Linked DNA regions of Caenorhabditis elegans. The protein of the gene in region 3 interacts with the protein of the main gene of each other region in a pairwise test. Each region holds a gene or a part of one and is shown on either strand. Other genes may lie near its edges.

Evidence for each region. Proteins that work in one complex are often made in the same cells at the same time.
Region 1: the proteins of paa-1 (region 3) and sas-5 interact in a two-hybrid assay, tested with the Caenorhabditis elegans proteins (one study listed by BioGRID).
Region 2: the proteins of paa-1 (region 3) and smg-5 interact in a two-hybrid assay, tested with the Caenorhabditis elegans proteins (one study listed by BioGRID).

Annotation. Positions count from the first base shown.
Region 1 is NC_003283.11:11,608,669-11,613,250, forward strand, and holds sas-5 (Spindle assembly abnormal protein 5), read left to right. Parts: upstream 1-2,068; 5' UTR 2,069-2,110; coding exon 2,111-2,162; intron 2,163-2,205; coding exon 2,206-2,462; intron 2,463-2,514; coding exon 2,515-2,734; intron 2,735-2,786; coding exon 2,787-2,890; intron 2,891-2,936; coding exon 2,937-3,062; intron 3,063-3,105; coding exon 3,106-3,292; intron 3,293-3,538; coding exon 3,539-3,807; 3' UTR 3,808-3,928; downstream 3,929-4,582. Other genes in the region: piit-1 (BPTI/Kunitz inhibitor domain-containing protein), read right to left, coding at 571-767, 817-933, 983-1,250, 1,380-1,400.
Region 2 is NC_003279.8:6,733,375-6,738,584, forward strand, and holds smg-5 (PIN domain-containing protein), read right to left. Parts: upstream 2,788-5,210; 5' UTR 2,779-2,787; coding exon 2,666-2,778; intron 2,558-2,665; coding exon 2,449-2,557; intron 2,388-2,448; coding exon 1,838-2,387; intron 1,772-1,837; coding exon 1,581-1,771; intron 1,495-1,580; coding exon 808-1,494; 3' UTR 655-807; downstream 1-654. Other genes in the region: dhod-1 (Dihydroorotate dehydrogenase (quinone), mitochondrial), read left to right, coding at 4,159-4,763, 4,807-5,202.
Region 3 is NC_003281.10:5,448,664-5,453,993, forward strand, and holds paa-1 (putative serine/threonine-protein phosphatase PP2A regulatory subunit), read left to right. Parts: upstream 1-2,066; 5' UTR 2,067-2,077; coding exon 2,078-2,586; intron 2,587-2,637; coding exon 2,638-3,497; intron 3,498-3,544; coding exon 3,545-3,762; intron 3,763-3,815; coding exon 3,816-3,895; intron 3,896-3,939; coding exon 3,940-4,031; intron 4,032-4,085; coding exon 4,086-4,099; 3' UTR 4,100-4,474; downstream 4,475-5,330. Other genes in the region: F48E8.8 (Hsp20/alpha crystallin family protein), read right to left, coding at 175-302, 350-535, 691-811, 857-973, 1,069-1,149; F48E8.4 (MRH domain-containing protein), read left to right, coding at 4,943-5,236. UniProt on the Caenorhabditis elegans protein: Acts as a scaffolding protein for phosphatase let-92 and its regulatory subunits.

The sequences.
Region 1 (4,582 bases), on a different chromosome or scaffold from region 3:
TTTTTGTTGTTTAGAGTATGTCAAAATGGATGCAATTGGTTCTAGTTACTTCCGTGTTGAGTTTGCAAACGAGGTTCAGATAAAGAGAAAAAAGGAAGTATTTCTATAGATATTTTTCTGTAAAATTTTTTACTGGTTATAGATGTGAGTTTGATATTATAGGTGTGGGTCGCAATACTATTAGAGAAAATGGGGTATTATTTTTAGTGATAGATTTTACTTTAAACTAGGGCTGAATAATAAACGAACCTGGTTGTACTTTGATTGAAAACCATACTCTTGACATGGAGACAAATTACAGGATAAATATAACTGAAGTTTTGTAGTTCCCAAAAGGAAAAACGTTGCCTTAATGTATATAAATTATTATTTTTGCATCACATTCAAAATTATTTTTTAGATTATATAAAAAATATTTAAAAGAAATGAGATAAAAATTGTTTATGAGTGGATGATAATACAGTTAAATCATACTTTGAAAATTACCCGAAAAAAAACTACAAAAATGCCAACTCTTAAAAATAACTTGTTTTTCATAATACAGATAATTCCAGGAATTCAAATATCGTCTTATTGGGAAGTTCTTGTTTGATTTCCACAGGTTGCCATACATGAGTTGTAGTTGGGGAAGTTGTTGGCATTTCCGAGAGTTCCATAGAATGAGAAACGCATGCAAGTTGTGTATTTTGGAACCCAGAAGTATTTGTCACTTTTCTCTCCTCCGACAGCAAACTTTCCAGAGTCATATGTCAAGTTGCAAAGATAGTCTGTGAATTTGAAATTTAAGAATAAAACATTTAAACATTTGATGCTTACTGGATGTTGGACAACAGAATGATTGAATACAGTTATGACCCTGTGGGCAAGTATTAGCTCCTGCTGAGCATCTCACTGGTGTCAAGTGGTCAGTGTCATAGGTAGCAGAGCAAGCAGCTTAAAATTTTTAGAATAATTGCCATAGTTACTAGCTAACCTCACTTACACTTCATTTGAACGGTTTCATCACTTGACTCCGAGTCTCTTTGAGCTTGAGCATTGGTACAAGCTGATCTACACTCTTGTGCACTACTGAACCGGTTACTATTACCACCACATCCCTGATACATGAATGGTTGACACGTTCCAAGTCTTGGAAGATAATAGAACATTCTAGAAGAACTGTTCTCAGCGCAAGTATTTCCAGAGTCCCGTGCAGCAAAACAGTCAACAGAAGTCGATTGAGCCGCAGTGAAAGACAATAGGGAGAGAATCTAAATAATAATTACATTTAAATTAACTGAAAGTCGTATGTAGATCTAAAGTAGATCTATTTCTGGATTTAGTAGTTTTTAATTTAACTAAGTTTCAAACCTCATAATTAAAAGGATTTTAAAACTCACCACAGCCAATCTAAGTGCCATTTTAGTTTTGCCACGTGAAAATGTTGTACTCGAGTTCTGGATTTCTTTTAAATAGGCCATCGAGATTCCCGCCCCTTTAAACTATTGTACTGGCAATCGTGTAAGCTCTTGCTACCGTGCAACACCACCAACAGTCAAATCCAAATTCCAGTTTTGATCTGACCCCACGGAGCAAACATTGTGTGTATAATGTACATATACTGTTGGCTCCTTCGCACTGACTTTTTTACCACGCTGATTTATTTTGAGACACTTTTTCTGTGTCTCGCTGTCTATCTGTGTACAGAGGAAAAATTTTCTCGGAATTTTTAGAAAACCAGTCGGGAGTGTTTACTTGTTTTTTAATACTTTTAATACATTGGAAAATTGTGTAGGTTGAGAAGATTTTTTGTTTGAAAATCTGTCAATCTAAATTTGTTCAACTGATCAGGAACATTCTTCTAAATTGCAGATAATATGAGAAAGTAGAAAATTCTGTTGTTTTATAATAATATCATTTAATTTAATTACAATCTTCTTTCGTCCCCGAATGGTCATGCGAAAAGAAATGTGAGAAAATATACAATGTGCGCGCTCATCTTGCAAAAAATGTGCGCGGGGGTTGCAGCAGAGGCCACGCCCCCGCGACACCAACGCGCCAATTTTAAAGAAAAAACGTTTTATTTTCCAATTTCATAGTTTTAACAGAAATGACCTCGCATTAAGCGGGAATGAATAATTACGACGACTTACCCTGCTCTATTTACTTCAAAAAACCAACTGGTGAGTTGTTTTCGATATAAAAGTGTTAAAATTGCCAATTTAGTCCAGGAGTTTGTGGATCAACCGAGAGTCTTCGAAGATTCTGAAGTCCCTGCCTTTCAAGAAGTTCTTCAGCTTCCACAAGAAAGGACAAAACCCCCAGTACCATCTACGCAGCCAATTGTCGCCGCTGTAGAAGTAGCCAAGAAAAAATCGTGTCTTTCGGCTCCGAAACCAAGAAAAGAGCCACCTTCGCATCCAGCGCTTCGCCAAAAAACAGTTGCGTTTGGAAAAACAGTTAACGTTTCCCAAACTGTCGAGGTAATTAAATTAAAATTGTTCCATGGCATAATTCCACTAAATTATCTTTCAGGGAACATCTCGGAATTCAAAAAAAGTGCTTGCTTCAACAATGTCTGCCCAAAATACGACAACGACTGAAGAACAGGCAGCTGAAAACTGGCGGGACGCTATGAAAACAGAACTGCAAACGATACGAACAGAGATTCAAGAAGAAACGGCCCGGCGACAAGAAGAGCTCAATGCTCAAAATCTTGTTAAAATGCAAGAATTGATGTCAAACTTCTTTCAGAGTATGTTTGAATATATATTATCCCATAAATTCAATAAATAATAATTTTTCAGAGATAACGATTCCTAAACAGCAAGCGATCGAACCAGTTGAAAAAGACAAAGAAAATTTTCATGAGAGTCCTCGTCAATCAAGACAGCAGAAGCCAGCTAGTAAAGTGAGAATTCAGATAAAAAATAAATCAAAAAGTACTCCGTTTTAAGATCGCTTCGGCACGAGAAGTTATCAAAAGAGACGGTGTTATACCTCCAGAAGCATTAACAATTATTGAGCAACGCCTTCGCTCGGACCCAATGTTTCGCCAACAAATTGATAATGTTCTAGCAGACGTGAGTAGTGTATTTAAATCCGATAGAAATAGTTTGTTTTCAGGCTGAATGTGATGCTAACAGAGCTGCATATTCTCCACCACCACCAATGTCTGAAGTTAGATACGGATCTGGTGTGAATCCTGCTTTGATGAGAGAAACACTTACGGTAGAACGAAGTATTCGATATGACAACGGACTCGCTTCTATTGATTCTAGACAGTGGACAAATGAGAGACGTGATAATCGTGGTAATTTAATTTTTCAATATTCAAACACAGAATTCGTCCGCTAGAATTGTATAAATATAATAATTCACGCATTCCAAAATGTATCAAATAATTCATTAAAAATGTTTGAAAGTTGATAACCATTCGTAGTGAAAACACTTTATACTACGAAATGATTTTAAGATGAAATCCTCAAATCAGTTGAAAAATTTGAATTAAAAGTCAAAAATGAGAAGTCTCTTCACTATTCAAAAAAACCTTTTCTAGCTCCTGACTCATACCGTACCTACGAACCGGATCAACCATGTCACTCACTCTATCAAAAGGGTCAAAGTATTAGCTATTATCCGTCAGAAGCAGCTGGAAAAACGACAGCTAGAAACAATCGAACTGGATACTACGTGGAAGATTCATCAGATCATGAAGAGGATGTTGTAGTCAATAAACGGGGACAGAACTATCACGAGCAAGCGGTACCTGAGACTCCAGCTGAACGAGAACGCCGTATTCGTGAAAAATACGCTCGCAGGAAATGATATCAAATGTGTTTAACTCTTGACGTTTTAAAATTATCATTAATCACTACGTGTAATGTCTGTGAATTGTACTAAAACCATTACTTCCAGCTGTGACCTGAATAAATTTTGAATTTCATCGATTCTTTCTCATTTGATCATATGATCGAGATAGTCTCGAACTTAATTCGATTTTCAGCACTTCACACTTCTGTCATTGTTTGACAAGTACCAACTTGACCTTTCCATCGGTCTCCTTCAAGAGTTTCATTTGTGTACGAAATAAAAATGAAAATTCTAGTAGTGTACGTGTTAATTGGAGAAGTTCTACGAATTTTTAAACTACAAGTTCATAACTTTTAAAACAAACTGTTATGGCATGTACACATGTGTTCCTGTATTAAAACACTTGCTGTCTTCAGACTTTCCAATTGAAAAGATACACTTTCACTTGATTTTCCATATGCAAGCAAGCGTTTTGAACTATCACTACCTTTCTCTATTTTTGATTTCTCTTCCTGTTGACTTTTGCACCCGAATTTTTTGAATTTCTTTTGTCAAAATCTAGTAAATATTGACATTGATTATTTATAGAGAGTAGGTGGAAAATTAGAAAATATAAAAGATTAGGTGTGTCTTGTTCATCTTTGCAAATTTGTTTTTTGGCATTTTCAAAAAGTTCGAGAGAGCACCCAGATGTTTGGACTTCAACTGTTCCATTGTACTCTCCCCATTTATAAACTCTGCGATTTTTCCCATTTCTCTCTAAACACTGATACCACAGTTTTATCAGGAT
Region 2 (5,210 bases), on a different chromosome or scaffold from region 3:
GGCATGACGAGACAATACAGCAGTAAATGGTAAACTGTAAAAGCCGCAATTAGTAAACAAAACCAGATTTTTTTCTCAAGTTTTCAAATCGAAACATCTCAACTTTACACAAATGTATTTCAATCAACAAAAGTATACCTCTTTTCATTTGAATGACCTCGATATGAGAGTGATACAATCTCCTCTCACCCTGTTTCTAAAAGAAGAGCGCTATTTATCTGACTGAGAATCGGCCCTAGACACTGTCTGACGGGACACAGAGGAACATTCAAATTAAGGTGATTTTAGAGTTTTTAGTGAGGGTGAATGTTCTGGAACTAATTCGGTATCTGGAAGTTTTCGCACGTTTAGCAAAATAGTAGACTTACAGTACTCTAGAATACTCACAGTCAGGGAATGTGTAGCTTCGATTTGCGGAGCATAAAAATTGAAAATGTTACTTACTTCATGAAAATCAATTTATAGTAGGCTGATAGGAATCGAAAAGGTATGATTGTGAAATGAAAATGCAATTTTCTAAATGGTTTACGGGGGTGGCAAAAGAATTCATAATTGTTTAGATACGTGGGAGTGCTCTTGGAATTTTCAATTTGAACGAAATGGAACATAGTACTACTATTAATTTAATACTATTGTGAAATGATTTGAAAAGAGTTAATTAGAAAATTTTATTACCAAAAAATTGTCAAATAATTGAATCCAGTAAAATAAATCAAAAATAAATCCGAAGAATATGATCTCAATGATTTTAAGCGGTTCCAATTCCAGCCATCGTGAGATTTTTCAGTGTAGAGCCCTTTCTTTTCATCACTCCAAATACTTCATGTAGAACTGATCGATATCGTAAAAAGTAACTCCTTCCATTTCTTTCTGTTCACTCGGGTTTTTGCACAGAAAAGCGACAATATGCTTGTGATCTTCTGCAGATCTTCGTGCACTTTGAACCAATTGCTCCGCGCAGCTTCTCTCGTTATCACATTTCTTTAGCACAATTTTTCCCTCTGCTTGAAGCTCCATTAATGCCCGAATTACTGGACGAACTGCTCGATTCTTCGTTTTCTGATAATCAAGTTCATCAAGCACTGTTGATGGCAAAATGCAGATGAAATCATCGATATCCCAAATTTTTAGAGCAATTCTTATTTTGTCAACTATGACGTCATAATCCATCAATACATAAACAGGTCTCCAATCCTCCCGGTTAACTTCATCATTTTGTGTCTTTATTTGAATATCCAAACGTTTTTGTTCCGATTGATTAATTCGTCGTAGCAATGGACCCGATTCTTCTCTATCGTGGATTATCTCCATTGGTGGGAATTCGACGGAAACCAGATAATTGATTAATTGACTCAAAAATTCAACATTGGGTTCGGATATTGGACCATTCAGCAGAAAGCTGGTCATAGAAATAGATGGATTGATTGTGAGTGACATGGATGTGAATACGGAATTGATATGATTCATAACCAAGTCGTTGAGCTCGTTCCATTTCTGAAAATAAGTTATATTTATAATTAATTCCCCTTGATTTTAAAATTGAAACATCTATTCTACATTTTCTTATCTCTAAATCTTACCGTTTTGGCGAAAACCGATAGCTTCTGGAAATGTGGCTCATTTTTCTGCTCATCCAAGTGTCCGAGTATTTCGGCTGAATCGGAAATCCATGAGATAGCTTCAGCTAGAAGGCATTTGGATGAAATCGTACGTGAATAAATTGTAATATACAGCGTTGAAATTGTGTCGAAGCAATTGTAGAATTGTTGAACTGAAAAAATTATGTTATCCTACAGCAGAATAAGAATTTTCTATAGATATTGGAATCGGTACTTACATCCAAATTTCTTCATTGCCAATTTAGATGCTAAACGACACGTTGACATGATCAGAGACCAATCGAATTCGAGTTTCTGTTCGATTTCTGCTTTAAACTCGTTTACTATTTTGATTCCAGTCATCTGATAATCCATTCGTTTTGATTTCTCGTTCAATGCCCAAATGACAAAATCTACCATCAATTTATCAGTGGATTCTTTTTGTGGAAATTTCAAATATTCCAAGAGTTCAGTGCCTTTTTTATATGGAGCATCGGCGAGCTGTCCTAAAATCATCAGTCTCAGCTTCTGTGCAACATTCAGGTCAGCTCGGAGACCAGCGAGAACGTGGAAAGCTCTTCCTTGATTCGGATCTAGATCGATTGCTCTTGAATAATATCCAACTGCCAAGCATTTCTGAATTTCTTCGTCTGGCATATAACGATGAAAATCTCCAATGTACATGTTCCACAATGCTGGGTATTTGTCATCGGGAAGCGAAAGCATTTCTTGAAGCTCTCCACAGAACATTGTCAGCAACACGGCTATTGCCATGTTTTTCTCCTTATCCTGTAATAAGAACCTTTGGAAATCAAATAAAAATAATACAATGACTAAAAGTTAATCTTACTCGAATAAAAAACTGGAAAGGGTGATAATATCCAACAATCCACAATTTATTGATTGAACTTGTACAGTCCCCGTCGCGTTTCATAATCTCAATGAGCTGTTTTCGGCCTCTGAAAATTGTAATTCTTTAAATTTTAAACTTAAAGATCGTTTATTAATTTCATAGTTTCTGACTCAAGCTGTTGTATTTTAAGTTTTTGTTACAGAATAAAACATACTTTCTGCGCAACATCGCCATCACTGGAGAATGCACATTTTCAGTTTGGCCGTATTTTTCCAGTTGATTACAATATCGTTTGAACTTTTCAGTGACTTCATCTGACTTTTGCATATTTATATTCTGAAAAAAATAAATTAAAGACAGATGGATAACCGGATAATTATAATAATAGTTATTGAATATAAAAGGAAGAGGAAAACAAAATAACGACTGCGAAAAAAAAATCAAGAAGAAACTGCGCACTATGTTGCAAATTGGCCACGCCCACAATTCAGTTCATTTTTCTCTTTATTTTCTTCAGTTTTTATTGAAATATAATGTTTTTTCTCCAATTTTCTAAATATTTTCTCTTAAAATTCAATTAAAAAATGTGTTTCGAAAGATTTTAGAATTAAATTTCAGCGTTTTAGTTCAAAATTGGACATAAATCTTGTGTTTTCAAGTGTTTTCATTTGCTAAAAATCTGTTTCCATAGCTGTATAATATTTGTTGTAAGTATATACGCAAAAACTGTATAATTATTAATTTTTCCAATAAAAAAGAAAAACCTCTTGAAATTAAAATTGTTCTCATGTCTAAAAATCACTTGTTTCTTTATCTTCAAACTAAATAGTATTTCTTATTTTAAATTCTTAAAGTTTCAGATTGTATGTCATTAGGAGCGGAAAACCATCAAACTATCAAGAAGAAACTTAAATCATACGACTACAGTATTCGAGTAAGTTTTAAAAAAAAGTTTTCGTGTAAAAGTTGCACAAAATGAAAATTGAGGTGACATAAACTGAATAAAAAAGAAAATATTCATTTCAAAAACGTTGTATTTGTTCAAAAACAAATTCGGCAGTTTAAGCAAAATGTGATTTCTGATCTATCGCGTCGATTTTCATTCATTTCTTCTCTCGACACTTCATCATCGCATCTTATCTTTTTTGTCACTTTTATCATCATCAACCACCGCCAAGACACCATGCTGCAAACATTTCAGATGTTCTCATGCCATTTTTTTGCCCTAAACTTTCATAAAAATGTAGATTCTGCCAATCTTTCATTTCCCAACTTAACTTTTTCAAAGTAATTTAAAATAAAACGACACTACTCTTTAACATTTCATTTTGATTTAAATAGTTTATTATACTTTGTACTAGATTCCCCTGTTATCTAAGATAACCTTCAACCATTAGTTATCGAGCTTATCAATTCAAATTTCCAAATAATTTAGGCGTCTGCTAGCTGCGACTCTTCTCCCAGTCTCTTTCAACCATTCTTTCAACTTGTACTCCATTACGAAGACGGCGAGACACAAGTTTTGGATTTCACTTCAGAGCAGGCAAGTTTTTTTTTTAACTTTAAGATACTTTACCTGTATTTCTACTTATAAAAGTGAAAACTTCCAAAAGAAAACTCAGCCACATTGATCATTTTAATTTTTTTTTTTCAGCTGGAGAAATTTGTTGCTGATTTGAATAAATCATCCTGAATTTCTACTGAAGAATGAGTCAAAATGCCGAACAAAAATACATCTACTCCAAACTTCCACCTGGTGCAATAAGCAAGTCGACAGTAATTGTACTCGCGACAGGAATTGCCAGTTACACAGCACTTGAACTTCTATATGGTTCGGAAACGTTCTACAAAAAGGCAGTAATGCCAATGGTACACAAATTTGTCGATGGAGAAGATTCACATCGATGGGCGGTTCGAGCTGCTTCGTGGGGACTTTTGCCACGTTTCGGATGGAATCGAAAAGAATATCCTGAACTGAAATGTGAGCTTTTTGGACGAGAATTCAAGAATCCTATCGGGTTAGCTGCTGGATTTGATAAAGATGGACAAGCAATTACACAATTGGCCAAGAATTCTGGATTTGGACTCATTGAAATTGGATCTGTAACACCAATACCACAACCAGGAAATAATAGACCACGCGTGTTTAGGTTATTGGAAGATGAAGGAGTTATCAATCGATATGGATTTAATAGTGATGGAGTTGGAAGAGTTCATCAAAGAGTACGAAGTGCCAGAGATTCATGGGTTCCAGAGAGTTATGCATATTTTGGAGTCAATTTGGGAAAGAATAAACTTACGGAAGACGCAAAGTCAGTTAAAAAGGCAAAAACGTTTAAATTTCAGTTCTTGTAGATTGGATTATGAAATTGGTGTCAACTACTTTGCTCCACATTGTGATTATCTGGTTCTCAATGTATCATCACCTAACACTCCTGGGCTCAGAAGTATGCAAAAGAAAAGTGATTTGGAGAAGCTGTTGGCCTATGTACACCAAGCGCTTGAAATGCACAAGCTGGAAAAGCAGCCTCAAGTTTTTCTGAAAATTGCTCCGGATCTAATTGAATCAGAATTAAAAGACATTGCACAAGTTGTGACGAATAAAAAGTTTGCGATCGATGGAATTATTGTATCGAATACCACAATTGCACGACCCGACTATCTCAGATCAGAGAATAAAACGGAAACAGGAGGATTGAGCGGAGCGCCGGTTAGAGAAATTAGTACGGAATGTGTCAGAAAAATATACAAGTGAGTTT
Region 3 (5,330 bases):
GTGAGAGGTTGACAAGTTTTTTAAAATCCATTTTATTAATTATTCCGAAATACACATTTAGTTCCAATAGTTTCGAAATTTAAAACGTTTGAGTCATCCTTCATTTTTTCTGCCTAGTTGCTGTGATCATTTGGAGAGAGTATAAGAATTTATTAATCATTTCGAAAAAAAAAATCATTTTTGAATATCCTGTATCATTCTATTAAACTTGAAGTTATTCGGCCGGTGTTGAACAATTTGCTCCTCATTGGCGATCATTTCGTTATTCTGATTTCTTCGATTATAACGGAAGGAGAGTGGATCTGAATTTACAGTAGATTTTAAATTGGTTTTTCTTGAATTTCCTCACCTAATTTTTGTAGTGGAACAGGCGCTATGTCCACCGGCTCTGCAATATTGTTCAAGCCGATCGAGCGATTTGCGTAGAGATTTATTTCATTAAAGATATAATCATCTGACAAATTATCTGGCACCCCTCGTTTTCTTTTAGAAGTTTCCTCGATAGGTTCGGTTACAATTACATCGGTTTGTTGAGCTGAAATAGGATCCAAATTATCAAATATCCTTCTCTATTCATGTTATAAATCTTGGTTGTAAGAACAGTTAACATAATTAGTAACAATTAGAAACCTGATGTGATTAAGATTCTATCACTGTTTTTAAATAGTAAAATAAATAATTTTGACATACGTATATTGATAACTTCTCCTCTTTGTAACGCCTCAATCAATGCATCCAAATCAAGATCTCCATCACCTTGAGCCTCACGCAGTGCTCTCTCCTTTCGAAGCCTTTCCTTCAGTCGTTTAATCTGTCATTAAGCCACTAGTATACACCTTGGAGAGCCACCACAAACCTGCTCGGCTCGTCGCCGTCTACTTTCCTTATCTATCTCCTCTTCACGCTTGCCGTCTGCCCATTTGTTGAAGCTGAATGTGTTGAACACATTCGCACCGTCTCCCATTGTACTGTTCTGTAAATATATAAACTGAGCTAATGAGAAGAATACGTACTAGAGCACCACGCTTTTGCGAAAAATGAGAACCAAAAGCTCGATTGTGCACTCACTTTTGCATATTTTATTAAAGCTTTTGACGTCCTTTTCTCTTTTGTTCGCCTGTTTGAAATTTTTGAAAACCAGGAAACCATGATGATTTTAAATGTTTAATGATGTTCTTCTAACAGCATGCCCACGCGTTTTGCCTGAAAATTCGAATCAAATTAATTTTCAGCCTTTTTATTGTTTAAATATCAGAAAAAAACTGGCTGTTCACTAATCACGTGATGCCTGTGTTTTCATCCTCCCTTCTACACTGAAAATATTCTATTTTAAGGACATTTTCAGTCATTTTCCGGCGCTGTTCCCTCTGTCGTCGCCACGTCCAGTACACCGAAACCGACGACAAATCGATGAGAGCTCTACGACCGCAGGCGCGATGGATTGTGCTATTGCAGTGAGAGAGAGATGGCCGTTCTCTGCTTCTCTGCGTATCACTGTCGCAGCTGTTTCTCTTCTTCTCCTTTCGCCGCTCTTTTTTTGCATGTTCGTCAGGTTCACTATAGCGATTTCTTAATATCGAAATTTCACGAGTTTCAGAGTTGATTTTCGAAAGATCAGTGAAAATATTGTCCACGTGGTAGAGTTTTTCACTGATTTCTCGAAAATTCCAATAGTTTCTTTAAAAATCACACTCTTCTTCTTTGAACAATTCCATTTCATTGATTTTCTATATTTTCGTACAGAAATAATAATGTTTCAACAAAAATATGTTTTCTAGCACTGAACATTCTTAAATTTGAATTTAATTTTCTTAATATCAGATATTCAAAGATGACTATTCGTAGATTCTGCAAGTTCTTTCAAAATACTCAATTTTTCTATTTTCTCTCCAATTTATTTCTCCAAAAACCACCCGGTAATCAATATTTCAACACATTGCTGTGTTATCTTCACTGCGTCTCCTCTCTCTCTCTTGTTCTCCTCATGCCCGATGATAATCCGTTTCTCTTCCCGTTCTTTCTCCTTTGAATAGCCGCGAGATTAATTTTCATAAAACAAATTTCAGCACTCTTCATCATGTCGGTTGTCGAAGAAGCCACTGACGACGCGCTCTACCCGATTGCCGTGCTCATTGACGAGCTGCGCAACGAAGATGTCACGTTGCGACTGAACAGCATTCGCAAACTCTCCACAATCGCTTTGGCGTTGGGTGTGGAGCGCACACGCAACGAGCTCATCCAATTTTTGACCGACACGATTTACGACGAAGATGAGGTTCTGCTTGTGCTCGCCGAGCAACTCGGAAATTTCACTCCATTGGTCGGTGGTCCAGATCATGTTCATTGTCTTCTCCTTCCACTTGAGAACTTGGCCACAGTCGAGGAGACCGTGGTCCGTGACAAAGCCGTTGAGAGTCTCCGCAAAATCGCCGACAAGCACAGCTCGGCCTCATTGGAGGAGCATTTCGTGCCGATGCTCAGACGTTTGGCCACTGGAGACTGGTTCACATCCCGTACCTCGGCTTGTGGGCTTTTCTCTGTTGTTTATCCACGTGTCAGTCCAGCTATCAAGTCGGAATTGAAGAGGTGAGAATTAAGAAAAGAATAACTAAAGCAATCTAAATTAATTATTTTCAGCATGTTCCGAACCCTGTGCCGTGATGACACCCCAATGGTTCGCCGTGCTGCTGCTGCAAAGCTCGGAGAGTTCGCAAAGGTGTTTGAGAAGACTGCCGTCATCGAGGGTCTCCACTCCAGTCTCACTGATCTTCATGTTGATGAGCAAGATTCTGTTCGTTTGCTCACTGTCGAGTCAGCCATCGCTTTCGGAACTCTCCTCGATAAGGCTAACAAGAAGAAACTCATCGAGCCAATTCTCATTGAATTGTTCGATGACAAGTCGTGGAGAGTTCGTTATATGGTTGCCGAGAAGCTTATCGAGATTCAGAATGTCCTCGGTGAGGATATGGATACCACACATCTCGTTAACATGTACACGAACCTTCTCAAGGATCCAGAGGGTGAGGTTAGATGTGCTGCCACTCAGAGACTTCAGGAATTCGCTCTCAACTTGCCAGAGGACAAGCGTCAGAACATTATCTGCAACTCACTGCTCAACGTTGCCAAGGAATTGGTTACTGATGGGAATCAGCTCGTCAAGTCGGAACTCGCCGGTGTCATCATGGGACTTGCTCCACTGATTGGCAAGGAACAAACTGTCTCTGAGCTTCTCCCAATCTACATGCAGTTGCTTAACGATCAAACCCCAGAAGTTCGCCTCAATATTATTTCCAGTCTTGATAAGGTCAATGAAGTGATCGGAGCAGCTCAATTGTCCACATCCCTCTTGCCAGCCATCGTTGGATTGGCCGAGGATGGAAAATGGAGAGTTCGACTCGCAATTGTTCAATTCATGCCACTTCTTGCTTCCCAGTTGGGACAAGAATTCTTCGATGAGAAGTTGCTTCCGCTTTGTTTGAACTGGCTTACCGACCATGGTAACTTGATTTTTTCTTAAAAATGTTTTTAATTTAATTTTTTCCAGTGTTCTCAATCCGCGAGGCATCGACCCTCATCATGAAGGAACTGACACAGAAGTTTGGAGGACAATGGGCTAGCACGAATATTGTACCAAAAATGCAGAAACTTCAGAAGGACACCAACTACCTGCAGAGAATGACATGCTTGTTCTGTTTGAATACACTCAGTGAGGCGATGACTCAGGAGCAGATTCTGAAGGAGATTATGCCAATTGTGAAAGATGTAGGGAAATTTTACTTTTTTATTTAAAGAAATCGTAATTTTTCTAATTTCAGCTTGTCGAGGATGACGTGCCGAATGTCAGATTCAACGCCGCAAAGAGTTTGAAGCGAATTGGAAAGAACTTGACCCCAAGGTGACAGGAAAATCTTTTTCACTATCCCAATTTTCTATTTTCAGTACATTGACGTCCGAGGTGAAGCCACTGCTCGAGAAGCTCGGAAAAGATTCAGACTTTGACGTTCGATACTTTTCAGAGGAAGCCAAGAACTGTAAGTTTCAGTTGTCTTAAAATTTAGAGTGAATTTGAAATTGAACATTTTCAGCACTCGGCTTGTAATCGAACATATCGCTAGTCAAATTGGAATCTCTACATCTTCCACTTCTCAATCGTCTTATTTTTCCATTTTTGTTCCCGAGCACGCGAATAATCTCTATCTCTCCTCATTCATTTGTAAATGTTTAGCCCTCGAGACAAAACTCTGTATTGTAATAGTTCTAACCACCGTCCCTCCCACAACAAAACAATACAAATTATAATCGTTAAATTATGCGACCTCTCTTTATGATTATTTTCATTTTCCTCCCACTTCTATCCCGTATATTTCACCATCCTACTTCTTTCTGTTCTTTTTCCACCACACACAATCACCACTTTTTCCATTGCGACCCATTCATTCATTTATTTTTTTTGCAGAATAAAAGGTCATCGTCTATTATGAGAAAAAAGGTCTCAGGTTAGGTTAGATCAGTGTGGTTGAAATCTCTGAAAATATTTGGAATAATGGTGTTATCCGGCGTATGCCACGTCGCAGAAGCTTTTGAGCAGAGAATCTCGGTGCTTTTGCAACGTGGATTAAATATTGCTCAAGTTGCAAGCGTTGTGAAACGTCTCATTCAAATAAAAAATTTACTTTTGCCATTTGGAACTTTGAAACCATCTTTTTGGCCGTTTGGCAAATCCAGCTGGCAAAGAGCGGGCATAAATTTATATTAAACGCGCAGTTTCCCGATTGATTGTCTCAGAAACTTCCAGTGCTCAGATTTTGCCACGTGGCTAGAAGTTTTCGTTGCCAAAATTATTTTTTCCAATTAAAAAACTGTTCGCATTTACTTTTCAATTTTTCAATTCAATCGGAGAATTGTTTACGTAGTTTCTCTTTGCAGGTGCTATGCCAAGACGATGATAATTTATTTCCTCCAACTATTCCTGCTGCCGTCCACGACCGCCACGGCAGGCGTATTTGACCTTGCAGAGTACCGACGGGTCTCTTATGACGCGAATATTGGCGAGAATTTTCTTTGGTTCGCCCCGGAATTGGATATTCGAAAAGTTACAGCCAGCAATATTGATGATCTCGAAAAGCGAATTGTTAATCGGATTCCCGATGACTCGACCGAGCAGAATTTGATGTTTGTGACGAGTAAAGGAGGGCAGAAGTTTGCATGTTCTTTGCCAGATGTGGAAGATGTTAAGGTACACATTTTTAGATTAAATATTGTGCTTTGTTGTAAAAATCGGCAAAAATTTGTAGCGTGTTGTTTACAGTTGACTTTAGGTGTTCTTTGTT